2 linked regions of the Xenopus tropicalis genome follow. Each later gene encodes a partner of the first gene's protein in a complex. Links are inferred from orthologs where the notes say so. Each region holds a gene or a part of one and is shown on either strand. Other genes may lie near its edges.

Evidence for each region. Proteins that work in one complex are often made in the same cells at the same time.
Region 2: the proteins of ran (region 1) and sirt2 are in contact, whole or in part, in a crystal structure (PDB 5FYQ), measured with the Homo sapiens proteins. The link is inferred for Xenopus tropicalis from reciprocal best matches to the Homo sapiens genes RAN and SIRT2. Residues at the interface, in NP_006316.1 of Homo sapiens: Phe35, Glu36, Lys37, Lys38, Tyr39, Val40; in NP_036369.2 of Homo sapiens: Phe96, Arg97, Glu116, Phe119, Gln167, Ile169, His187, Ile232, Val233, Phe234, Phe235, Gly236, Glu237, Ser238, Leu239, Phe244, Gln265, Val266, Gln267, Pro268.

Annotation. Positions count from the first base shown.
Region 1 is NC_030677.2:157,742,592-157,749,190, reverse strand, and holds the start of ran (GTP-binding nuclear protein Ran), read left to right. Parts: upstream 1-2,989; 5' UTR 2,990-3,145; exon of another isoform or gene 3,146-3,302; intron 3,303-3,690; exon of another isoform or gene 3,691-3,821; intron 3,822-5,921; 5' UTR 5,922-5,936; coding exon 5,937-5,972; intron 5,973-6,051; coding exon 6,052-6,136; intron 6,137-6,599. UniProt on the Homo sapiens protein: GTPase involved in nucleocytoplasmic transport, participating both to the import and the export from the nucleus of proteins and RNAs. Switches between a cytoplasmic GDP- and a nuclear GTP-bound state by nucleotide exchange and GTP hydrolysis.
Region 2 is NC_030678.2:55,099,426-55,104,988, forward strand, and holds the end of sirt2 (NAD-dependent protein deacetylase sirtuin-2), read left to right. Parts: intron 1-248; coding exon 249-300; intron 301-428; coding exon 429-496; intron 497-1,307; coding exon 1,308-1,374; intron 1,375-2,660; coding exon 2,661-2,807; 3' UTR 2,808-3,531; downstream 3,532-5,563. UniProt on the Homo sapiens protein: NAD-dependent protein deacetylase, which deacetylates internal lysines on histone and alpha-tubulin as well as many other proteins such as key transcription factors.

The DNA.
Region 1 (6,599 bases):
GGTTGCGTTCTGAAAGTCACAAAATTTTCGTAAACAGCGCAAAAACCTTTCTGGCTTTGAAACCTTCAATGTATGATTTTGGAAGCCTTCTATAGGACTCAATGGCACTCTACAGATTTAACCTGGTGAAAAGATAGTCACGATACCAAAGCTTGAATGAATTCCGAAATGGTCATAGCCGTTGCAAAAAATACAACTTTCTTGCGGAAGTTAACGAAAACCACGAAAAAGTTGTGGAATTTTAATGAAATCATTGTGGACATTACGAAAAGTTCTATAAATTAGAAAAAATATGATTTTTTCTCAAAAAAAAGAAATTTTGGTTTAATGAATAGGCCCCATACTATTGTGAAGACTCTGCAGACCTCCTGCACACAAAAATGTGACCCTTATTTACTCATATACACACAAACAGTACCCATTTTACTAAGGAAGCTTTTTTCGTTTCTGGCTTTTTTTTCTTTTGCACATATTTACACACATATACACATAACCACACATGTGTACACAAGCTCACTTTTCTTAACGTTTAATAAGGTCTTGATTTTAACATTTAGGAGCACATTCATTAAAGTACAAATCCGAATCACGAAATCCGTTAATTTCTGATGTTTGCAAAAGTCATGAAAATTCTGTTCATTTGAATAGGAAGATATCGTACTTACGATCCGAAGGTTCTGAAATTTTTGTATTGAAACGATTGTTTGCGAATGGCGATCCGATAGTCATGAAATTTTTACGATCGTAAACAGCGGGAAAACTTTTCTGACTTTGAACCTTCAGTGCATGATTTTGGAAGCCTCCCATAGGACTCAATGGCACTCTGCAGCTCCAACCTGGCCCAAGGAAAGTCACGATACTGAAGCTTGAATGAATCCAAAACTTTCGTACTCGTTGCGACAAATGCGATTTTGTTGCGTAAATTGACACAAAGTACAAAAAAGTCACGCAAATTAATGAAAATATCATACAAAATACGCAAAAGTTGTAATCTTTTGAAAAAGTATGATTTTTTTGTAATCGGACCTGTCGTACTTTAATGAATGTGCCCCTTTGTCTTTTGTTTCTCCCCTAAAAACTATTTATCTGACAGTGTGACATAAATGTGGCAATTTGTAAGATATTTTAGGTGATTTAAAAAAAAAAAATATATATATGGTTTTGAGCAGTCTTTGTACTGTTAGGGAGTCAGGGTTCTTTGTTTGCAGAAGCTGAATTGGCAGCCAACAAATTTCATTTGCAGAAATTTAGGGTCCCCCCATGACACATATTTGGTAAATCTATGCACATTGGGCATCAAACTGTTCAGCAGACCCTTGGGGGCCCATTCATCAAAGCACAAATTTCTGATGTGCATAAATTGCGCAAAAATTTTTTGTCTTGGTTGTACGAAAATATTGTGGTTGCGATCTGAAAGTTACTAAATTTTCGTATCCGAATGATCGTAAACGTCGCAAGAACCTTTCTGACTTTGAAACTTCGATGCATGATTTTGGAAGCCTTCCAAAGGACTCAATGGCACTCTGCAGCTCCAACCTGGCCAAAAGATAGTCAGGATACCAAAGTTGAATGAATTCCAAAAAGTTCATAGTCATTGCGAAAAATACGACTTCTGCGTAAAAATTTACGCAAAACGAGAAAAGGTAGCAGAATTTTAACGATATTATTGTGATCAGTATGAAAAGTTATAAACATTAGAAAAAATATACATAATTTTTGCAATTGTGGTCATCATGCTTTGATAAATGTGCCTCTTGGTGTTGATATTTGCAGTAACTAAAATAAGAGCAATGATAAATCACATGGGGTATTTAATTTTGGGGCCCCTATATGCCACATACTTTGGTAAACTTACTCACATTGGACATCAAACTGTTTAGCAGAGCCCTGGGGGCACATTTACTAATCCACGAACGTCCGAAAAGTGTCCGAAGGCGTTTTTTTCGTAATGATCGGTATTTTGCGACTTTTTCGCGAATTGTCATAAGATGCTACAAAGTGGAAGCTTTAAAGTGATTTTCCAAAATGTAATAAAAACCACCAAATTCAGGAAGGGTTTGTGGTTTGGAGTAGAAAGACATATTCATTTGGATTTGGGAGAATGTGTTAATATTAAGTAGAGCCCTGATGTTCATATTTGGGGTGTTTTATATTGATACCTCATGTAGGAAATAAGATGCTCAAATGGGAAAGGTTTAGTGCAAATTTTTCAAAATTCCAGAAATTGTTATAAAAATCCCTAACTTAAGGAAAGGATTGCAGTTGGCTAGTTTAGAGTATTGAGAGATATTCATGGCTTTTGGATTTGCCATAATGTATTCTTTAAAAATATGTATGGTTTGTTTGGGTACTTTGTTACTGTGTTGCTGATATTTTGGCCCATACAAGTCAAACAATTCTATGAAACTATACAAATCTTGTGTTGACAGTCAGTAGATACAGGGCATTCCAAATCAGTTGTATCTTCAGGCATAAAATGAATTTTTTCTGATATACAGTATGTCTGTATTATGTAAAATGTAATTATTAGCTTATATCGTGTTGCTAAATTGAATTAAAAAAAAGCATATATTGTTTTTGAGGGTTTAAAGTGTTCACCTTCAACAGCAAAACGTTATTAACGCATAAAGCATGGTCTCGGAGTATCTAGTAGAATTAAGTCTAAAACAACTGGACTTTTTCTGAGTTTTCTTGAAATGTTTCACCACTAATCCGAGTGGCTTCTTCAGTTCAAATGACTGGTAGGGAATTCCCCGGTATTTAAACTCTTGATGGTAGTAGAGTCACAGAGTCGGAGCTTATGCCATTTTTCCCTTTGTGTTCCTCAGTGCAACCCACTTCTATCAGTTGACATACGTAAAAACGTAAAACAATGTGCCATTTGTACATGACACGCTGCAGATAGCCCTTTGTTAGTGCTGCGCCAGAAGAGGCGCGCTACACGGAGCCCTTACGTAAGTCCTTTCATTCAAACCTTCCCGCCTATAGGCCTTTCCCCGCACTCCCGCCCGCCGCATTGCTGCTGCTTGCACTGCCCGCACTGACGTCATCGCCTCCCACGTCACCGCCCCTCCCAGAGCGCGCCCTGCTATTTGAATCCCGCTTCCGCCATTTTCTCTCGCTGCTTTACAGACGCTTCTGGAAGGTGAGATTCTAACCCGTGGGAGATATAGGCTGGGCCCTGCCGCATAATCCGCCCGACATCTCGGCCATCCCTATTCGCAAAGCGTCCCGAAGCTCTTGTAGCACTCGCTGGTTAATCGTGCGGCCGGGCACGGTAGATTTGAGAGGGATTCTAGTCGGTAAGGGAAAAGCGGGGCTGAGAGCCTGATGAGAGGCGGGGGGAGTTATATGTTGGCGCGCTTTTTTTCCTCCATGGCGCTACATTCTTTATGGGACTTCACTGCTAGTTCCTTATGTAATTTGCTGGGATGTTCTGTTAGCAGAGGCTACACGTATTCTGCTAATTATCAGTGGGCGAGTTCTCTCGTTTGTGTGGCCTCTTCTTTTTATTTCGCCGGTGACTAGACAGTATCAGGCGCGATAAACATGACTTGTACTAGGCCGAGTCCCATGAAGTGCCATGTAGGCCGGGTTTATACATACTCAATATTGTGGCTGTTAAGTAAAGGCAGACTAGTTAAAACCTATGTAGTTTGCGGGGAAACCGGGAAGCAGGCCGTCGCAGGAAGCGCGTCCCCGCCATTAGCGCTCATTCACCCCGGAACCTCATGTGTCACTGAGGCGCGACGCTAGCATCCCCGGCCTTGTTCTATTAACCGCACCGCCCTGCTCTCCTAGGCCTGCTAGCTTGCGGGAAGGTACCACTTAGCTGGGGTGGAGGGGTGGCCGATAGATTATGTATTGGCCGGAGCTTGCTAGTTGAGACAAACATTTATGGGTCAGCCGATAGTTAGCACGGAGAATGGATTTTTTTTAATCCACTAATCCTGGTCCCAGTGACTAATTGTCATGTGGGACCCAACTTTGTCAGGCGTGAAATTGGCATTGTTCTGTCACGTAACCAAAATGGCATTGGCAGCGATGGGCAGTTGTTTCCACAAGCTTTAGTGGGTGGGTTGGCCTGCGTGCTATTCCGCCTGCTGGTACCTGCGCTGAGCCAATGCGCTGCAGCTATTCCTCACACGTGGGCCTCTAACTTCTGGCACACAAAGTTTTACTTAAACGGAAACTCCAACCCAAAGCTCTATTTTTACAAAGAAAACAACATTTAATTAGAAGCTACTTTTCTTATATACTTACACACTTTTTTGTGATATTGGCAGATGCAAGCTGATTAAGGCTAATTGCACATCCTGTGGGGTTTTTTGTACTGTTGCTATGCAGTGATGTTGGCAGTAACTTCCTGTTGCTCTGTTTATAGGCAGATGTTGGCACAAGTGTACATATAAATGGCTGGTATTGATAACACTACACATGGGCCAGTATCTTTTTCCCTCTGTTGAAGAAACTCTGCTTTTGTCCTTAGCCTAACAGGCCTGACAGAAACTGACATTTTTGTTTGAGCCAGAGGTAGAGAGCAGAAAGGGATGAAAACTGGATCTAAGCTTTGTGTATTTGAAAAGTCTTTGGTTTTAGATACCTTTTAAGCAAATACAGGCATCCAGGTTGTTGGGCATACCAAACCAATGCTTTAATACACAAGATAAGTGTCTTAAAGGACAGTGAAAAGAGAAAGGATTGGGGGTGCCAATTTGTTGGCAATTGCAGTCACGGGGGGTTAACTCTAAATCCCAGGTCAGTTCTTTCTGACCGCTTAGTAGTACCAGAACCATGCCACTGTGTTCTATAATGTTTCAGCAGTCTTTTTGGGTCCAACCGCAGTTGATGTGTGCAATCCTGATGACCACAAGGCACCTGGGACATTTCAGAAGATGGCATCACAGCTCTGGCAGAACTGTGTGTGTTTTTAGCTGGTAGCTCCGCCCCACATTTTTATAAGCCATCAAGCTTTGCTCCAGCCTCTATGCTTTGTCGCTCTTAAGCCCAAATTGTGATGGTGGTTTCCAGCTCTGGCTGCTTGTTTGGCGCCATGTAATGCACTATGTTGTGAGCTTTTGGTTTACAGCAGCTTCAGAAAGTGGTTCATTTTGTGTTATTACCCATACATGTATTTCCCTGCTCTGCTGGCGAGAAATGTTGTTTGAGAACACGTGACTGTCTTTGATTTCCCATGGGTCAGTTGGGTAGTTGTTCAGGTTCATGGGAAAACGTTAAAGGTCTATTAGAATGACTTTACTGCACCCATATATGTAATTGAATGTCCAATGGCCTTAACGCTTTGTATGGTGTAAAGATATGTACTGTGTAAGGCAGTTGATCAGTTTATAAAGTATATTTTTTTTAATTTGTGTGCACTCAACTGGAACATTAGGAATCACTGGGGGCATGTCTTGCCAACTGGCACCCAATGACTTTAATCACTAACCTATCTCATTAGTGCTCATTTACAAAAAATAAAAATGCATGATGTAATTCTGACCCCCACTCCATCTTTTTTTCTGCTTTTTGTGGTGTCACAGGGAATGTTTAGGAAGGTAAAGTAAGGCATGCTGGTGCATTATTTTTTTTTTTTAGAGGAAGGCCACTAGCCCATGATAGATTAGAACCATTGGTGAGTTCTAGCAAATGTACACCCTCCCATGATTTTTACCTTTTTAACCACTGAGTCATTCAAGAATTCCTAGTAAACAGTGTAAGATGAAACCTACAGTATCAACTATTTTCTCTTTACACAATGCTCCTTTAACATTCATGAATAAGAGGTGTAAAAGTGAGGGAGGATCAAGTGATGTGGGCTGACTATGCTAAAGCTGAATGTTCTGGGGAATGAGTAGTCTTATTATACATCTTGCAGCTGACAGTAAGAATTCTGTTACTTTTTTTTCCTCTTTTTATAGGCTGACAAACATACCATGGCAGCCCAAGGAGAACCTCAAGTGCAGTTTAAGGTAAAAAAACAAAAAAAAAAAACCTTAAAGTTATTAGGAATTTGTGCTGCATGTTTTCTAATATTATTATTCTTTGTAGCTTGTTCTGGTTGGGGATGGTGGTACCGGTAAAACAACCTTTGTGAAACGTCACTTGACTGGTGAATTTGAGAAGAAATATGTAGGTATGTAACTTGGTCATTGTGTGGTGTATAAAGCAGATGGTAATGATTAAAGGTGAGCTTTTGCACAGCTTGCTGGTTTAACATATGTAGTGATAAGTGTAAATGGAACATAAACAGCAGATTCAAAATATGAAAATAATTTTAAAGTGGATCTCTAATCAAAATCTTTTTTTAATCCATATTAAAAAAAAAAATAAAAATTCCAGTACTTAATTTTAAAGGAATTCTGGGGGGCTAGCCATGTCTATATTTTCGAGGACGAGAAAAAGAATCATGGAAAGGCAGCTCCCTGACGTCTGTATTGCAAAGGGTTTAGACGCATGGGGCGATTAGTCCCCACGCCGAAAACACAATTGGTTGCGGCGGGTTTTTAAATGTTGTGGTGACTAATTGCTGATGTGTCTTCACCCTAAAAGTGGTAGATATTAGAATGGCAGTAAGAAATCCAAGTCCATCTTCGGAC
Region 2 (5,563 bases), on another chromosome or scaffold:
TTAACACAGTATTTGCAGCCAGCTACAAGTATCCATTTATACCTTAGTTGAATCTAGCCTTGTTTCTAATTTAAGGGCTAGTACTGATGAGTGTTAATTCCTGCACTTCCCTGCGGTGGCATTCTCATGGGTTTCACTGCAGGGGAGTGCAGGAAGAAACGCAACGATTCTTCCTAATGGGGCTGTAAGTGCATGTAAGTGCCAAATGTAGGTGATGAATTAACCTTTCACCTATTGTTTTATTACAGAGTGTCTAGTAAGACCCCTAGACTTCTAATAAACAAGGAGCTGGCAGGACAGGTAAGTTATGAACTTGATTTAAACTTTTAGGGAAGCAATTAATGTTATGACAATGCTTTTAATTTGTTCTTAAGTCACCTGCATACCTTCTATTTATTTTTGTGTTTTTCTAATTATTGTTATTCTAGGGTGACCCATTTTTCAGTGTTTTTGGCTTTGGAGGAGGCATGGACTTTGATTCTGAGAAAGCATACAGGTAATCTTGAACGCCAGTTAAATGGAAAATATTGTTGTTTGCACTAAATAATATAATTATGCTGAGGAAGACTTTAAGGGGCAGATTTACTAAAATGTAAATTTATCTTGTTCTATTTTTTTTTTTTTTTTTTTAAACCACAAATAAACTCATTTTCACAAATGTCGGACATCTATCAAAGTCTGAGGTGAAAAAGCCGCGAAAAGTTTAACTTTTATGACTTGTTACACAATAAAATCGACATTTTCGAGTTGTCACACAAAAACCAGCTGCAAAGGTCGAAGCAATGGAGTTCAAAGCTCATTCTCTTTCTGGCAAAAATCCTGTGGCAGAAATGCAAAAATGGTTTGATTAATTGTTCAAATAATTCCAGAAGGACAGGAAAAATATCATAAATGTAAATAAGATTGAATTGCTGTAAAAAAAAAAATCAGGAAAATGTGAGGAATCCAATTTGGTCTTTTATAATTCTACCTTCCAATGTTTTTTCCATCCACTAACCACTCCAACAATATAAAGCCCTGTGAGGCTGGATTCAGTGGCTGTGTGGTAACAATTACTAAGGGCATATATCCCACAGATTGTTGTGTAAGGAAGCAAATCATCAATTCAAATCATTATGCCACTGTGTTGCCTACCCCTAGTCCTGGCCCTGGTGGCACCCTGCTGCCGATCTGCTGGTTCCATTTCATTCAGAACATATTTTCCTTCAAGTAAAATTGTTAATCTCCCTTGAATAATATGATACTAACTTTAAATATTTCGATTGTTTGCTAAGGTTAAGAAACACTAATACTATGTTTGATTTTAGGGACGTTGCATGGCTTGGAGACTGTGATGATGGCTGCCTTGCACTAGCTGATTTCTTGGGGTGGAAGGTATAGTATATGCTAAAGATAATGCAATAAACCTGGTAGTTTTAATAGTATGTTTTGTCTCAAGTCTTGAGACTGTGGTGTCATATCGTCTGTTTATTTTTAGTGATAGGAAAAGGAATTAGTTAAAAGTATTTTTAATCCAGTACAAGCATTATCCCAGGTATTGGCAAACTGAGCTTGTATATAGTTTAAAGGATAAGTAAGCCTTTTATTTCTTTTACTTTAAAATCCCCTAAAAGACTCTAAACAGAATAACATACCCCCTAGAATAACATACCTTTCTTCCTGAATTCAGTCTCATGTGGTTTCTAAGTCACAAGCAGTGAGTGTGAAGCTTTGCCCCCATTTCTTTTCTGAAAGCTCCTTTTCTCTTTGACTGTAAAGATGGTCAAGATGCGCCTACTGCACATGCTTGTGACTTCTGCTCCAACTGAAACACATACATGTGCAGAAGGCACCTCTCTGACCAACTTAACAGTCAAAGAGAGAAGGTGGTGGAGCTTCACGCTATACTAGGAAGTAGCTGAAAGAGCTGCAATTGAGCTACTCGTGATTTAGAAACCACATGAGAATGAATGCACGGAGAAGGTATGTTATCAGAAGTGCTGCTGCAATGAGATGAGTTAAGAAACGTACCTCGGGCAGCAGTTCCCCACAAGTTACCAGGGGTGGCAAAAATCTACTTCTGCAAACTTTAAGAGCTGAAATTGTTTAATACGGGCCAACACAGTGGCTCTGGATGCAGGCACAACAATAAGCTTTTAGGAGCGTAGGGCAGACTCTTGGCCTGGGTTTATGCACAGGCTGAAAATCCGCCAGGTCTGGCAGGAGCCTAAGATGTATTGCATGGGTCATAAATAGTAGATACCGTGTAATAATAAGGAAGATAAAACTATATGGAGGTTCTTAAAAAGTGGTTAATGCATCAACATTATTAACAAGAAAAAAAATACATTCTTCTGCTGGTGAAAAGTGGCAGCTACATATAATTTATCAAGTTCTGCATGGGGCCTTTTATCTCTTTTTATCCTTGTCAAACTGTTTTGCCCCTTATATAGTTATTATTATATAGTTATATAAGTTATTATTGTTATAGAGTGTTCAGCTATCTTATGACAGTAGGATGCTTTCGGCACCCAATTAAGATTTGGATATTTTGTATTTTAAATGATTTATTTGGTTTTCGAGTGCAACAAAAAGTACCGGTATATAAAAAAAAAAAGAGCCATGCTGGTAAAATTTTGATTTTCCTACAGAGAATTTCTTTAATATATTTTTATATGCAGGCTGAATTGGAAGAATTAGTAAAGAAGGAACATGCAGCAATAGATGCAGCAGCAGAAGCAGCAAAGAAAAAAGAAAGCAAGCCAGGGGGCTCATCCAGTGAAGAAAGTTCTGCAGCAAATGCTTCAGATGAGAAAGCAAATAACTGATTGTTTTCTAGCTTTTAGTTTGTGAGTTCTCATACATTTATTGACCTTTTTAAAGGGACACTTAACACAGTAACTGCATTTGCCTAATTGTGCTTTATACAGAAGTATACCTTTGGTATCTTTTTGTACCATTTGGGATTGGTCCTTCCCCCAGGCTCTTGTTTGGTGTCTCTCATTTGTCGCCTCTTCTGAATGGTCATGTCTCCAGTGCCATGAGACTGTACCACCTGAATGTCCCATTAAGCCCCAACATCTTGGTCAGTTAGCCATTCATTTGTATTCTGCACAGATATCTAGACATGCCAGGACAGGAAAGGCTAGGGAAGATTTAAGAACAAAGGCAGAGCTAAGCTTTAGTGGCCCATTGATAGCAGAGAACTAAATAACTTTTGATGACCATATTAAATGGTTGATAGGGTGGACTGGTAGAGATGTATTTACTGATTGGCCCAGGGTTGACTATATTTAATATTTTCCTATTATTTCTGGATGACCAGAGAGCTGCAGGTTTTCCAATGGATAGTATATATGATATACCAATGGCTGGAGACTATAACTGTTAATAAAAGTGTATGTTCCTTTTCTCAGCACTAATGCTTTCTTCATCCACTGTTGGAAGCCTGAATAAAAGAGTGTACCAAATACTTTGGATAAGTAAACCTTAAAAACAAATAATGATGTATACAAAAAACTAACAGCCCAGTCCTTAGGAACTTTTTTTTTTTTTAAAAAGTTTGGCTTTCTTGGCATACCTAAATAGAAAAATGCCTTATATTAGAATTTACCTAATACTAATGAAGACTAGTAGACTGATGATTAACCATTTTGTAGATTTTCTTTGCTCATAATCTCTGCCAATTTTTCCATTTCCATATTTGTTCTTTGTTTACTTCCTTACCTTTACAGTTAAGCTGGCCATACATCCACCGATGATATCATACAAAACCTCATTTTGTACAATATTCGGTGCGTGTATGGCAGATCGACGAGACGACTGCGGATATCGGTTGTCTCGCCAATTGACCAGGACAAATGATTTTGACGGCGTCCAAACAAAATCTGCGTTCAGGGCTGAATCGGCAGGTAGAGGTAGAATTCCTATTGTTTCTACCTCCACATCTGATGATTCAGCCCTGAACGTCTGCGGGGGAAACGAACAATCCTTCCTGTGACGAAAGATCGGAATTGCTACGTGCATGGCCACCTTTAGACTGGAATCATACATTATTCTTGTTATTAATATAATAATAATATAATGAATTTTGGTACAACAGCACCAACTGTTGGTCAATTGCTACAGTCAAAGAGATACACCTTCAGAAGGAAAACAGAGAAATGATCTTATGTTGCTCTGCTTATGGTAAAGATCAGAAGCCTCCGATGCCTTTTTCTATCTCCTTCCTGGGCAGAGCAGTATCAGAACACTTTATTTACCCTGAGCAATTTTACACAATTTTTTTTAAGGTTTACTTATCCTTAAGTCCAATTATTAAAAGCTGAGAGTGTAATATAGAAAACCTTGTCCTTATCCCATATGTTTACATATGGGGGAAATATGCTAGGAATGTTTACCTTAATGTTATTTTTAAGTATAATGAAGACAGTGTTCAAGTGGCCTTCATTTTGTATTTTTGGTGGTAGTGGTTTGAATGAGTTACTAAAATAGGCAAAAAAAAAAAGTAGTTAGAAGTAATTAGTAAAAGTAATTAGGGTGAAGACACACAGAGCAATTAGTAGCAGCTTCTTGTCGTGGCTACTAAAAAAGACAATGCTGATCATTTACTGTTAACTGTCTCTACGTGTGTGGTAGAGTATTTTCTGGTGTTTAGTAGCTGTGAAAAAGTAGCTGCTTCAAGTAGCTCAGTGTGTCTTCACCCTTAGGGCAGTGGCACACGGAGATAGTCGCCCTGCGACAAATCTTCTTTACCACGGGCGGCTAATCTCCCCGCAATTCCATCCCACTGGCAAGAATGTAAATCGCCGGTGGGATGGCATACCCGTCGCTACGATTTCCCAAAGTCATCCAAAGTTTCCTTGAAAGGCAACTTTGGGAAATCATAGCAACGCGTATGCCATCCCACCGGCAATTTATATTGTGGGGAGATTAGTTTCCAGTGGTAATGAAGATTTGTCACGGGCAACTAATCTCCCCATGTGCCACTGCCCTTAGAAGTAACAATAAATCTTCTTTGGGGGTTGGTGGGGTTGTTTTACCTAGTAACTGCATAGTACTTTAAATTCATGTTGAGAAGATGCAGAAAAGAAGGCCAAATCATTACTTGGCAGTTTAAAAAAAATAGATCTGTTGCAAAGATTATTTGATTTTCTAGGCTCTTTATGGCTTATGGCTTTTATAATCTGTTCAGGTAGAGTAAATGATCAACAGTGAGCAAATACAATGAACAATGCCATTTTAAATGCTGCAAAGTTGAAACTGTTTCCAGTGGTAAAGAAATATGCAGTGCGGCTGATCCTTAAAGATATCCATACCTCATTGGTTGTTCTACATCATCATTATTCCTAAAGGTAAAGTATATCCTATTACAAAGAATAGCTTCTGTTCTTTTAACATTCAACAACTAGAATAGGATATGTTTTATGGGAATTATCTGAATATTTTTGGAATGGGAGCTGCCTTAATGTTCCTGAGACTTGGGAGCACTCTGGTTTTTGGTCGATACATCACAACCCTTTAAAAGGCTGTGGTTTGTGCCCAATAAAGTATACACTGTATGTTTTGTATAAACTTCCATTCT